Oryctolagus cuniculus: one gene and its partner. The protein of the gene in region 1 purifies or fractionates together with the protein of each later gene. This does not show direct contact. Links are inferred from orthologs where the notes say so. Each region holds a gene or a part of one and is shown on either strand. Other genes may lie near its edges.

Region 1 (6,763 bases):
CCCTGTGTGACCACAGGGAGCTGGCCTGCAGCCAGTGGCCTTTGCCCGCTGGGTCCGAGTGGGAGCGGAGGTGACAGCAGGACTGCGAGGGCGGCTGGGGGCCCAGGTTTGGTGAGTGGGCAGAGGGCAGTGCCAGGAGCTCCCAGGAGATGGTGCTGGCCGGACCGGGTGGGCACCTTCCGGGGTTCCCTCCCCCCTCGTGGCCAGGGCTTCACTGTGAGAGAAAGCGCCCGTCTTCTGACTCGGCCCAGGCGCCCCTACCCCTGGGGCTTGGCTGGAGGTCTCCTGTGAGAGCCCGTCACCCTGCCCCAGCTGTGCCCCCGCGGGAAGCGTTAGCAGGGCTGGAGCTGGGACGCGACCCTGCCCCGCGGGCCCGGTGTCCACCCGAGCGTCCCCAGGGCCCCGCTGAGGACGGAGGGCCTCGCATGGCTTCGTCACTGCGGTAAAGGGGGCTGGAGCCTGTCCCCCACCCTGCGAGGGGCCTGGGGGCCAGGCCGAGCCCCGTCCTGTCTCCTGCACCGGAGCCCAGTGCTGGCTGGGTGAAGGGCGGCAGGCGGGGGACCAGGCAGGAAGGAGGCTGTGAAGCCTGCGCGAGGCCCCGGGTGCACCATCGCCCCTCCCACACGGCCAGGTCAGGGTCAGCCTGGGTGTGGCCCCCAGCACCAGGCCGCGCCGGCGGCCACACCCCTCCATGGGACCACGTGCCCCAGACCCCACTGCTGGGGTGGCGTGATCCCGGCTGGCCTTGTGCCCTGGTGGGGTTCCCCCGGAGGGTGCCGTCCTGACCCAGCACCGCACCGCACGGGGGCTGCGGCAGGGCGGGGGGTGGCCGTGGGCGCTGTGGGCTCCCTGGCTGTGGGACTGTGCGCACGCTGCCGCCTCCAGCTGTCCACCCCCACGGGAGGGGGCCCTGCTTCTGTGCACACAGTGCCGACAGGCCAGTGGACTGGTCCGGCACACAGCCAGTGGGGGGGCCGGGACCAGGTGGGGAGAGGGCACCTTCTGGAACCCACCATGGCTGCCCTGCAGCTCTGCTGAGGCCGGGCTCCTGAGAGGAGGGTGCGGGAGGCTGAGAGCTTCCCTGGGGAGCACGGCTCCTCTGAGCTCACGCGTGCGGGAGCCTCGTGCAGGGCCCGTCCCAGGGGCGCTGGGACCGCTTGTGGATCCGTGGGGGTGCAGCCATTCCACCCTCTGAGCCCGGGCGGAGGCCCCCAAGGGCCCCTACCCGACATGACCCTTTCCCTCCCAAGAGCCAGTGAGCGGTGGCTGGGGTGGGCCACCAAGGGCCCTGCCCTGATCCCGATGGGGCACCCGCGCGTGGGGCTCTGCGCCCAGCCTGTGCAGTGAGCAGCCTGGGTCACTGTGTGGACAGTCAACGGTGTGGCGGTCACAGTGTGGCGAGGGCTGTGTGGACAGTCCCCACCCGCTGCTCCGAGGCAGAAGCGTGGCGTGTCTCCGCCACTCCCACAGACACCAGGGCTGCGAGTGTCCCGGCCCCGCGCTGTGCTCTCCCTGCTAGGGCCAGGGCTGCAGCCTTGAGCCCACTGCACGGAGCCGCACCACGGAGCCCCGGGACTGGAGGGCAGGGCCCGGCGCCCGGCCCTGGCGGGTGGCCCACGGGGAGGCCGAGCCGTGGGTCTGTGGGCGGGCTGCTTCCCTCCCGCTGGGCCTCCGGGGGTGCCGTGGGGCAGGCGGCCGGGGAATGAGTGCGCAGTTTGGGCAGTGCCTGTGAAGTGGCTTTAGCGGTTGGCGTGGAGGAAGAGGCCTCTCGGCAGAAGGGAAAGATTGAGGGCTTGTACAGTTTCCTCCTCGAGAAGCCGCTGTCACGGGCTCCCTGCTCGGCCGCGCAGGTTCCCCGCCAGCCTCTCCGCCGGGCACAGCCAGCGGCCCTGCACCCTCGTCTGAACGGGGGCGTCACCTTTCCCTGCCCTGTGCCCCGGGCGGCCAGCGCCAGGGGGCTCACCCGTGGCCGTGGGCGAGTTTGCACCTTCACTTCCCCGCCTCGGAGACAGCGCGGGCTCCACGCCGGGCGGGCGGGCTCCACGCCGGGCGGGCGGGGCTGACGTCCAACCCGTGTCCTTGCAGGAGGACATGGCGGCTCACGTGGGCGCGTCCCGCACGCCGCAGGAGGTGATGGAGCACTACGTGAGCATGTACATCCACGGGAACCTGGGCAAGGCCTGCATCCCCGACACCATCCCCAACCGCGTGACGGACCACACGTGCCCCAGCGGGGGCCCGCTGTCGCCCAGCCTCACCACGCCGCTGCCGCCGCTGGACATCTCGGTGGCCGAGCAGCAGCAGCTGGGCTACATGCCGCTGCGCGACGACTACGAGATCGAGTACGACCAGGACGCCGAGGCGCTCATCAGCGGGCTCTCGGTCAACTACGACGACGACGACGTGGAGATCGAGCTGAAGCGCGCGCACGTGGACATGTACGTGCGCAAGCTGCGCGAGCGCCAGCGCCGCAAGAACATCGCGCGCGACTACAACCTGGTGCCCGCCTTCCTGGGCCGGGACAAGAAGGAGAAGGAGAAGGCGCTGAAGCGCAAGATCCCCAAGGAGGAGAAGGAGCTGCGGCTGAAGCTGCGGCCGCTCTACCAGTTCATGTCCTGCAAGGACCTGGACGAGCTGTTCGAGAGCATGCACAGGGAGAAGCTGCTGCGCGCCAAGATCCGCGAGCTGCAGCGCTACCGGCGCAACGGCATCACCAGGATGGAGGAGTCGGCCGAGTACGAGGCGGCGCGCCACAAGCGCGAGAAGCGCAAGGAGAACCGCGGCCTGGCCGGCTCGCGGCGCGCGCGGGAGGACGGCAGGGACGGCGAGTTCGCCGCCATCGAGCACCTGCCGGGCTTCGAGCTGCTGTCCGACCGCGAGAAGCTGCTGTGCAGCTCCCTGGGCCTGAGCCCGGCGCGCTACGTGACGGTCAAGACCATCATCATCAAGGAGCACCTGCAGAAGCGCCAGGGCGTGCCCTCCAAGAGCCGCCTGCCCGGCTACCTGGACAAGGTGCTCAAGAAGCGCATCCTCGCCTTCCTCACCGAGAGCGGCTGGATCTCCAGGGACGCCTCCTGAGCCCCGCCCCGCGCCCCCGGGGACGCAGGCGCGGCCGCCCCCACCCGGCCCGGCGTGACCACGCAGGCGCGGCCGCCCCCACCCGGCCCGGCGAGACCCGTGCGGCCGAGCTCGCTTCGGAGCGCATTACGAGGCTGCGGAACGGCCTTTCGTGTTGTGTGTTCTTCCTTTTAGGTACAGACTCGTGCCGCCGGAGCCGCCCGGTGCCACCGAGCTGTGCGGAGCCGCGGCTGCCCAGGCGCGGCGCCGGGCACGAGCACTTTACCGGAGGCCGCGGAGAAGGCGGGATGGCGCTTCCTTAGGCACCTGCTGGGCACGGCGACCGCCGGCCGCGAGCGGGAGCTGTCCTTCCGGCCCGGCCGGCCTCGTCCCCCACACAAGGCGCATCAGGAGGGGCACGCGCCCGTGGGCCCCCAGGGGTGTGTGCCGTGCTGAAGAACACGACTTCACAGGTTCAAGGCTGAGTTCTAGGCTCTGGCATTCGCTTCCTCAGGACTTTCATCACAGTTCAAGTTCCCTTTCCGCTTAGGACGCCGGCCGGGCCAGCTGGGCACCCCGCATGGCCGCCGCGCCGGGCCGTGCTTCCCGGCCTGCACGCTGCTTCCCGGCCTGCTGCTGCCTCCTGGGCCTCGAGGACGGCGGGTGGCCTCGTCCTGCAGCTCGCGGCAGCGCGGGGCTCTGGGCGCGGCTCGCCTTGGCGCCCGCGCTGGATGACCAAGCTACGCGGGAGCCAGGACACCTCCCTTCCAAGGACGAGTTGATTACGGTGCCTTTCCCTTCTCATCCTGTCCCCAGGTAGGACCTCAGCATTAAAGAGAAGCATTTCAGACCGGGCCCCAGCCAGCCTGGGTGTCGCTGGCTGCGTTGGCCGCCCCAGGGGCCCTGAGGGGAAGCAGGCCCGGGAGAGGTGTGGGGCCGGGCGGGAGCCTGTGCGCCGCGGCCTGCTGCGCCCTACGCCGAGGTAGGAAGTTTCCCTAGGCTTGACTGTTCAGCCACCACGATGAATGTATCATTAATTTATGTTGAAGTATTAACGCGTTCCAAGGGAGACGCAAGCTCAGGACCGGCTACTCGTCCGCCCCCGCAGCTGTCCGTCAGTCGCCCTCGGCGTTTTCTACCCAATTCTCGTGACGCGTGGCCGCCGCGCCCCTGGAGCAGCGTTCCAGCATGCGGGCCGGGAGAGGTGACTGCGGCCGTCTGCGCGGCCTGGGCGGCCACACCCGAGCATGTCCCGCGGTGTGAACTCCGAGCGTTTTTACCCCCTTTTCCACATTAAAGGAGTTGAGAACACTGTGCGCGCATGCTTCTCGCCACCTGCCCCTCGGGGCCCCCAGCCCCGGCCGCACTGCTGTCCACCTGCAGCTCTGGCCGACTCCCGCTGCCTCCATGCAGCCCGTGCTGGGTGAGCGCGCGGCCGCCGTGGGGCCCCGCTCGTGACTGGGGCGACTCAGACTCGCAGGACCTGCCGGGTGGGTGTCAGGACCGCTCAAGCCCCGTGAGATGGCTCCCACCTTGCACAGCGGCCACGCGCGCCCAGAGTGCTGCCCGCTGCCGTCCACGAGCCGTGGAGAAGGCAGCTCTGTCCGTGTCTCTCCAGCAGCGTGGGCCGGCTGTGCGCTGACGGGAGGGGCCGCACGCGCTCGCGGAAGCCTCCCTGCCACCGCCAGACGGACAGGGTGCGGTGCGTGTGGGCGCAGCCGGCGCTGTCCTCCCCGCCCACCCCCTCGCGGCAGGTTTCTGGCGGGGTCAGAGGTCAGAGGGCGGGACCGCGCCTGCGCCCACCCACGGGTCACCAACCACGCCCCAGCCCCCACACAGGCAGCGTGGGGGTCTCGTTTCTCAGCCACGTCCCTGCAGGCCTTTGAAGACCTGGATGAGTGGGCGGTCCCAGGCGTTCCCGCGGGCTGGCCCGGGGACCTCCACCCCAGGACAGAAGGCATCAGAGAAGAGAGACGTGAACTCCGGCTTTAATGCTCTCACACGAAGGGCCGGCGCGCACCCTCGCGCCCGGGGAGGTCCGCCGCCCTGCAGGCCGCTGGTCGGCGCCGGAAGCGCTTCTGGTTGCGGTGAGCGAGACCCAGGTGTTGTCGCTCCAGGGTGGCTGCCCGGACTCAGCAGGAAACACGCTTCGGCTCCAGCCGTTCCCGCGCTGGGCGCGCACACACTGCGGACGGACGGCGCGTGCGGGGACCCGAGCGACAGCTTTTATTGTGTTTGGGCAGAGACAGGGTGGCTCGCGCCAGGCGCCAGGCCGGGGGTCCCGTCCGCCCTCCGCGGCCACGGGGCCCGCGTCACCTGTCCCAGCAGGGTCCGGGGAGGGCGGCAGCCCCAGGGCTACGCCTCCTTCACCACGCCCACGAGCGCGGGCCTCAGCGTGCGCCCGTGCAGCTTGTAGCCCACTTTGCTGACCAGCGCCACGGTGCCCGCCTCCTTGCCCTCCACGGGCGCGTGGAACAGCGCCTCGTGCTCGTAGGGGTCGAACCTGGCGCCCACGGGGTCGAGCCTGAGCAGGCCGTGCTTGGCGAACACCTTCTGCATCTGCGCCTCCGTCAGCAGCAGCCCCTCGTACAGGCTCTTGAGGTGCGGGTTGTCGTCCCGCACCGCCTCCCGCGGGACGCTCTGCGTCGCCTTCTCCAGGACGTCGGCCACCTCCAGCAGGTCCTTGCAGAAGCCCTGGATGCCTGGGCGAGCGAGACGCGCGGCTGAGCTCCCGCGGACTGCGACCCCCGGGGCCCAGCACTGCCCCCTGACACGGGGAGCACTGCGACCCCCGGGGCCCAGCACTGCCCCCTGACACGGGGAGCACTGCGACCCCCGGGGCCCAGCACTGCCCCCTGACACGGGGAGCAGGGGGGGACACAGCACTGTCCCCTGACACAGGGGAGCAGGGCCCAGCCGGCTCCCTGACACCACAGGGCCCAGCACTGCCCCGACACGGGGGAGGGGAATACAGCACTGCCCCCTGACACGGGGAGTGGGGGGGGGGGGAGGACACGACACAGCACTGCCCCCGGACACGGGGAGCAGGGAGAGGACACACCACTGCCCCCTGACACGGGGAGCAGGGGGGGACACAGCACTGCCCCCTGACACGGGGGAGCGGGGGCCCAGACGGTTCCCTGACACCACAGGGCCCAGCACTGCCCCGACACGGGGAGCGGGGAGAGATCACAGCACTGTCCCCGGACACGGGGAACGGGGTGGGGGGACACAGCACTGCCCCTGGCACGGGGGACAGGGGCCCAGGCAGAGGGGAAAGTTAGTTTCAATAACCCCCAGGCCAGAGGGGGGCCCTGCGCGGGACCTCCCTGGGAACCAGGCAGCCGGGCACCCGCTGGTCCTGGGCCCCGGCCCGGGGTCTCAGTCTCAGGTCGGCGGGCACAGCCGGCCGCGCTCCACCTGCCGGCTGTCACGCAGGGGCCAGCACCCAGGAGCCGGGCGAGGCTGGACGAGACCTGGACCCTTCGCTCCCCCTTCTGAGCCCCCGGGGCCCCACCCGGGACAGCGGGAGAGCCAGCCGGGTCCCACAGGGCCCAGGGCCACCCACACTGGCCTCCCCGCCAGCCCCGCGGTGCGTGCCCAGGCGTCAGGCCTCGCCGATCTCAACCGTGAGACGTAGTGACCACGGCGCCCAGGTCGCTGCAGACAGACAGCGCTGGGGGCCTGCCGGGACCCCCAGAGGCCG
Region 2 (7,433 bases), about 170 Mb from region 1:
GCTTTTTAAATTTTTTAAAAAGATTTATTTGTAAAGCGGAGGGGGGCCGGCACTGTGGTGTAGTGGGTAAAGCCATGCCTGCATGCTGGCATCCCATATGGGTGCCAGTTCGAGTCCAGGCTGCTCCACTTCTGATCCAGCTCTCTGCTAAAGTCTGGGAAAGCAGTGGAGGATGGCCCAAGTCCTTGGGTCCCTGCACCCAGATGGGAGACCAGGAAGAAGCTCCTGGCTCCTGGCTTCAGATTGGCCCAGCTCCAGCCATTGCGGCCATTTCGGGAGTGGGCTAGCAGATGGAAGACCCTTCTCTGTCTCTCTGCCTCAGCCTCTCTGTAACTCTGCCTTTAAAATAAATAATCTTTTTTTAAAAAAACTGCTACATTTAAAAAAATAAAACAAAAAAGAAAAGAAAACCAAAAGGAAGAGAGAGAAAGAGACAGAAAGAGATTTTCCATCTACTGGTTCACTCCCCAAATGCCTGCAGCGGCTCTGGTTGAGCCAGACCAAAGCCAGGAGCCTGGAACTCTATCTGGGTCTCCCAAGTGGGTGGCAGGGGCCCAAGCATTTGGGCCATGTTTTGCTGGTTTCGCAGGCACATTAACAGGGAGCTGGATGAGAAGTAGAGTGACATCAGCACTCTGATGTGGGATGCCAGTGTAGGCAGCAATGCCTTAACCCACTGCACCACAACACAGGCCCCTACATTTGCATTTTTAAAAGATTGTCTAGGGTCCAGCATTGTGGCACAGCGGGTTAAGCTGCTGCTTGGGATGCAGCACCCCATATTAGAGTGCTGATTTGAGTCCCTACTACCTCACTCAGATTCAGCTTCCTATGCCTGGGAAGGCAACAGAAGATGGCCCAAATGTCTGGGCCTCTGCCATCCATGTGGGAGACCAGGATGGAGTTCCTAGCTCCCTGCCTTTGGCCTGGCTCAGACCCAGCTGTTGCAGCCATTTGGGGAGTGAACCAGTGGATGGAAGATCTCTGTTTCTCTCTCTCTCTCTCTGCTTTTCAAATAAATAAATAAATCTTTAAGAAAGATTATCTAGCAGCAGTGTGGAGAACAGATTAGATCCAAGAGAGACTAGAAGAAGGGATACCACTTAGAAGGCAACAGAAATCTCCTTTCTAGATGTGTCAGAAGTTGAAATCATAAGATTGTATAGATCAGTAGTTCATAAATTTTCCACCAGCAGCAGTTAAAACATTCTCATGCTTGACAGACACATATCTCTTTGATTCTACTCCCTTTTCTCCTATTGACCTGGCATAGATGTGTCAAGGTACTCTGAGAAGGGGCCGGTGTTGTGGTGCAGCGGGTTAAGCTGCCACCTGTGACACTGACATCCCATATGAGCACCAGTTCAAGTCCTGGCTGCTCCTGTTCCAGTCCAGCTCCCTGCTAATGCATCTGGGAAAAGCAGCAGAAGATGGCCTGAGCACTTGGGCCTCAGCCACCCACCTTGGAGACCTGGATGAAGTTCCAGGCTCCTGGCTTCAGCCTGGCCCAGCCCTCGTCTTTGTTCATTCATCTGGGGAATGAACCAGTCGATGGAAGATCTCTTTATGTTTCTCCCTCTCTGTGACTCTGCCTTTCAAATAAACAAATAATTCTTTTAAAAAAGATGCACAAGGCCGGCGCCGCGGCTCACTAGGCTAATCCTCCGCCTAGCGGCGCCGGCACACCGGGTTCTAGTCCCGGTCGGGGCGCCGGATTCTGTCCCGGTTGCCCCTCTTCCAGGCCAGCTCTCTGCTGTGGCCAGGGAGTGCAGTGGAGGATGGCCCAGGTGCTTGGGCCCTGCACCCCATGGGAGACCAGGAGAAGCACCTGGCTCCTGGCTCCTGCCATCGGATCAGCGCGGTGCGCCGGCCGCAGCGCACCGGCCGCGGCGGCCATTGGAGGGTGAACCAACGGCAAAGGAAGACCTTTCTCTCTCTGTTTCTCTCTCTCTCACTATCCACTCTGCCTGTCAAAAAAAAAAATGCACAATACTTGAGGCTTGATATTTAAGTATCATGCATGATGGTGGTTCTGGTAATGAGTTAGTAAGGTGAGATGGAAAACACGGACAGTAGAGCCCCAGATACTGTTTCAGCTATTAGTCTGCTATGACTCAGCTTCTACCATGTGGTTGTCTGGTAGGAGTTATCAGGGTGTGATAATGGCTAGCATCTAACAGCTAAATTTCTCCAAATTTTTTCAGGGAGAACATCTTTGGTCCTGCATTTGTCTGACACATTTTTATGTAAATAACTGGCTGGACTTCATATTTTTCACTATAGAAGCCTAGAATCTACAGTGGCCAGAGAGCTAAACACATTACTTTTAGGATATCCTCTACATTGAACCTGAGAACTCTTCCCTTATTCCAAAATGTTGAGGTACTGGGGAGAAATACCAATGTCGTCAAACCAGGCCAACAGAAGTTCCTTTGATTTGCTCCCCCGGGAGTTCCGTCTGGTGGAAGTCCATGACCCACCCCTGCACCAGCCCTCTGCCAACAAGCCCAAGCCCCCCACCATGCTGGACGTCCCCTCAGAGCCGTGCAGCCTCACCATTCACACCATTCAGCTGATCCAGCACAACCGACGTCTTCGAAACCTTATTGCCACAGCTCAGGCCCAGAATCAGCAGCAGACCGAAGGTGTAAAGACTGAGGAGAGTGAACCTCTTCCCGCCTGCCCAGGGTCACCTCCTCTCCCCGATGACCTCCTGCCTTTGGACTGTAAGAACCCCAATGCACCATTCCAGATCCGACACAGTGATCCAGAGAGTGACTTTTATCGGTAAGACAAGACTGCCGTATCTTTCCTTTCTCGAGTTATCTTTCCAATAACCTGTTATTCCTGTAATAGCATTTTTATTTCCCCATGAGGAAACGAAGGATAAGAGGAATTGACTTGGACAAGGTTGCTCAGGATATTGGGGGAAATCCAAGCCTTGAACCCCAATCTTCCAAACCCTGAATATATTTTTTCATTTTCTGATGCCTCAAATATTTACTGAGTGCCTGTTTTATGCCAGGCAGTTCACTAGGAGCACTGGCTTCATAGTCCATAGGCCATGGCTTCATAGTCCTCAGAATCTAGTCTTTGTATTTAGTATAAAATGAGTGTTACGGGCTTAGCTCAGGGTCTTCAAATGTGGTTCATGGGCTTACACAGGTATTATTAGGAAACCACAAGTCTATGCAGGAATTTTTCAAACTGTGTATTTTCATTCTGCTAATAGAGTTTAAAAAATAATAACGTAAAAAAAGTCCTTGATTCTTGCTACCCAAATCTGGCCCAAGACCATCAGCATTAACATCATGTGTGAGCTTGTGAGAAATGCAGACTCTCAGGTCTTGCCAGACCTGCGGAATTAGAGCCTGCGTTTTCACGAGATCTCCAGATCTCCAGTGTGAGAGGCCCTGCTCCACACGCCTGAATGACTTCCTTGTGGACTAGCACTACTGCTACACTTCTGTGTGTAAGTGTGTATTGAATGCCAAATAATTACTTTGTTTTCCTTTCCATTTTGAAATTTGTCAGACCTACAGAAAAGTTTTAATCGGTAGTACAATGAGCATTCAAACACCTGTCATCTGAATTCACCAGTGGCTAACAGTTTTCCACATTTACTTTCTTATACGTGTATGTGAAAGTCTATACACACACACAGACACACACACACTTTTTTTTGGCCAAACATTTTAAAGTAATTTGCGTACATCTCAATATTTCATCCATTTATTCAGTGTGCATCTATCTTCCTACATAATCACTGTACTGTTATCTCACCAAAGTAAATGAACATTAATTAAATTATACCATTTAACAAGACCATATTCAGACTCCTCCAGTTGCTACCAACATCTTTTACAAATATATTTTCCTGCTGGCGCCGCGGCTCACTAGGCTAATCCTCCGCCTTGCGGCGCCGGCACACCGGGTTCTAGTCCCAGTCGGGGCGCCGGATTCTGTCCCAGTTGCCCCTCTTCCAGGCCAGCTCTCTGCTGTGGCCCGGGAGTGCAGTGGAGGATGGCCCAGGTGCTTGGGCCCTGCACCCCATGGGAGACCAGGAGAAGCACCTGGCTCCTGCCATCGGATCAGCGCGGTGCGCCAGCCGCAGCACACCGGCCGCGGCGGCCATTGGAGGGTGAACCAATGGCAAAGGAAGACCTTTCTCTCTGTCTCTCTCTCTCATTGTCCACTCTGCCTGTCAAAAAACAAAACAAAACAAAACCAAAAAAAAAAAAAAAAAAAAACAAGTATATTTTCCCCTAACAAAGATTCATGCATCTAGCTGTTATTCTTCTATAATGTCTCTGTGAGCGTGGATCATTGGGTCTACAGAATGTCTCACCCACTGTATGTGTATTATTTCCTCAAGATTAAGTTCAGGTTAAAGATGTTTGGCAAGAATACTTTAGAAGTGATACTGTGTATCATTTATTATATTGGCCTATTGGTGATAATAGTTATTACTTTAGTTATCCCAAACTGTTGAGAAAAAAATCAGAAATAGACGCACTATGTAACAGTTACAGTTGGGCCAGATGATGTCAAGGTACAATGTATAGTTCCAACAAAATTCTGTCTATCATATTAAATTGATGGTTTGTTTATAGTTTTGTGTCAGATTTCTATTTTAGTTGTCTCCCATCCAAGTACTAACCAGCTCGGCCTTGCTTAGCTTCTGAGATCAGATGAGTTTGGTGGAGTGGCTGTAGACATTTCTATTTTAATTGTAAGAGCTTTGGTCTTCAAAAGTTTTACCTAGTTTTGTTCTATACATATTTAAGAGACTATAACAAAAATAATTTGGAGCAGCCATTGGGGTGACAAAAAATTGTTTTCCAAGTGGCCTATAAATTGCTCAAAGTGATACTAGTTTAGATTTGTTTCTTAAGCACTTCTGAAGCCTTTAGTGTTTGGCCCGATTATGATGGAAATATTAGAAAGTTATGGGGCAGGTGTTGTAGCGCCGCGGGTTACGGCTGATTGTGATACCAGCATCCAATATCAGAATGTTGGTTTGAGTCCTGGCTGCTCTTCTTCCTATCCAACTCCCTGCTAATATGCCTGGGAAGGCAATAAATGAAGGCTCAAATGCTTGGGTGTCTGCTACCCATATGGGAGATCAATATGGAGTTCCTGGCTCCTGGCATCAGCCTGGTCCAGCCCTGGCTGTTGTGGCCTTTTGGGGAGTGATTCAGCAGATGGAAGATCTTTTTCTGTTTTTCCTCTCTGTCATTATGCCTTTCAAATAAATAAATCTTTCCAAAAAAGGTTACTTAGCAACTGGTTGTCTCACAGACAGTATTAGCTACAATCAGATAATAGAGTGGGTGGATAGTGCCCCGGGCACTCTTGCACAGCACATGGCAACACATTCCATGTACAGACCAAGCAACAGTGATTTTCTATTCTCTCTCTCTTTTTTTTTTTTTTTTTTTAAGATTTATTATTTGAAAGGCACAGTTACAACGAGAGAGGGAGAGACAGAGGTCTTCTATCTGCTGGTTTATTTCCCAAATGGCCACAATGGCCAGGGCTGGGCCAGGCCAAAGTCAGGAGCCGGGAACTTCATCCAGGTCTCCCATATGGATGACACGATCCCAACACTTGAACCATAATCTGCTGCCTCTAGATGCACATTAGCAGGAATCAGAATCAGCAACAGAGCTAGGATTTTATTTTTTTATAGATTTATTTATTCATTTGAAAGTCAGAGTTACACAGAGAGAGAAGGAGAGGCAGAGAGAGAGAGAGGGGTCATCCATCTGCTGGTTCACTACCCAATTGGCTGCAATGGCTAGAGCTGTGCCGATCCGAAGCCATGAGCCAGGAGCTTCTTCCTAGTCTCCCAGGTGGGCACAGGGGCCCAAGGACTTGAGCCATCTTCTACTGCTTTCCCAGGCCATAGCAGAGAGCTAGATTGGAAGTGCAAACAGCCGGGACTCGAACCGGCACTCATATGGGATGCCGGCACTGGAGGCGATGGCTTTACCTGCTATGCCACAGTGCTGGCCCCGAAGCTGGGACTTGAATCCAGGCACTTTGATACAGAATGTGGGCATCTCAAGTGGCAACTTAACTGCTGTGCCAAACACTTGTCCCTATTACTTTTTTCAGAAAAAGTCAGATAGGAAATTTCAGGAGAGAGGTAAATTATTAAAGACTTACTAAAAGTTATTTTTTAGGCGTGGACACTTGGCACAATGGTTAAGATGCCACTGGGGATCCCTGCATCCCATATCGGAGTGCCTGGGATCTAGTCTCAGCTCTGCTTCTGATTCCAGATTTCACCCTGGGAGGCAGCAGCCATGGCTCAAATCTTATGTCCCTGCCACCCATGTGGGAAACCCAGAATGAGCCCTGACTTCTGATTCAGCCTGGTCTGCCTCCAGCATTGCAGTTACCTGGGCAATGAGCAGCAGAGGGGAGAGCTCTCTGTCTCTATGACCTTCAAATAAATAAAAATTTAAAAATTTACTATTGCTGGGAGATCAGGCCATTTTTGAAGTATTTTCTTAGATGAGGATTCTACAGCAGTGATTAGGGGGCAAAATGTTGAATTATGAAGAGTATGGAAACTGGAGTCCAAAGCTCCGCTGTTAGTAACTAAACAACCTTTGGCAAGTCAGGCCCTGTGAACTTCAGTTTCCTTACCTGGCAAACAGAAGAATAACAGTATGGACTCTAGCTATTTCACAGCATAGGGTAGGATGAAAATATCTTATAAGCTATGTATGTTTTAAATTGCCATTGTAAAGTTGTCTTCCTGGCTATAACATTGTCCCTTGTAGTTGCTTAAGAAAGTCTTGGGGTGGGTGTTGTATAGCACGTTAAGCTGCTTGGGACGCCCATAACCCATACTGGAGTGCTAGTTCGTCGAGTCTTGGCTGTTTTGCTTCTGGTCCAGCTTTCTGCTAATGTATCCTGGGAGCAGATGGTGGCTCAAGTACTTGGGCCCCTGCAACCCATGTGGGAGAACCAGATGGAGTTCTGGGCTCCTGGCTTCTGTCTGGCCCAGCCCCAGCCATTGTGGACCTCTGGGGAGTGAACCAGTAGATGGATGATATTCTCTCTTTCTCTATCTGCCTTTCAAGTAGATGAAAATAAACATTAAAAAAAATAAAAATTATGAGGCTGGCACTGTGGCATAGCAGGTAAAGCCACCACCCACAGAGCCCGCATCCCGTATGGGCACCAGTTCAAGACCCAGCTGCTTCACCTCTGACCCGGCTCTCTGCTATGGCCTAGGAAAGCAGTGGAAGATAGCCCAAGCCCTTGGGCCCCTGCACCTGCTTGGGAGACCTGGAAGAAACTCCTGGCTCCTGGCTTCAGATCAGCACAGCTCTGGCCATTGTGGCCAACTGGGGAGTAAACCAGTGGATGGAAGACCTCTCTCTCTCTCTTTTTCTCTGCTTCTCCTTCTCTCTCTG

Evidence for each region. Proteins that work in one complex are often made in the same cells at the same time.
Region 2: the proteins of TADA2B (region 1) and SUPT7L purify together in Homo sapiens (affinity purification with mass spectrometry; 3 studies listed by BioGRID and IntAct, counting the BioPlex papers as one, with this or other methods). This does not show direct contact. The link is inferred for Oryctolagus cuniculus from reciprocal best matches to the Homo sapiens genes TADA2B and SUPT7L.

What each region holds. Positions count from the first base shown.
Region 1 is NC_091433.1:3,113,952-3,120,714, reverse strand, and holds the end of TADA2B (transcriptional adapter 2-beta), read left to right. Parts: intron 1-2,085; coding exon 2,086-3,078; 3' UTR 3,079-4,368; downstream 4,369-6,763. Other genes in the region: GRPEL1 (grpE protein homolog 1, mitochondrial), read right to left, coding at 5,413-5,759. UniProt on the Homo sapiens protein: Coactivates PAX5-dependent transcription together with either SMARCA4 or GCN5L2.
Region 2 is NC_091433.1:175,346,219-175,353,651, forward strand, and holds part of SUPT7L (STAGA complex 65 subunit gamma), read left to right. Parts: intron 1-2,204; 5' UTR 2,205-2,374; coding exon 2,375-2,787; intron 2,788-7,433.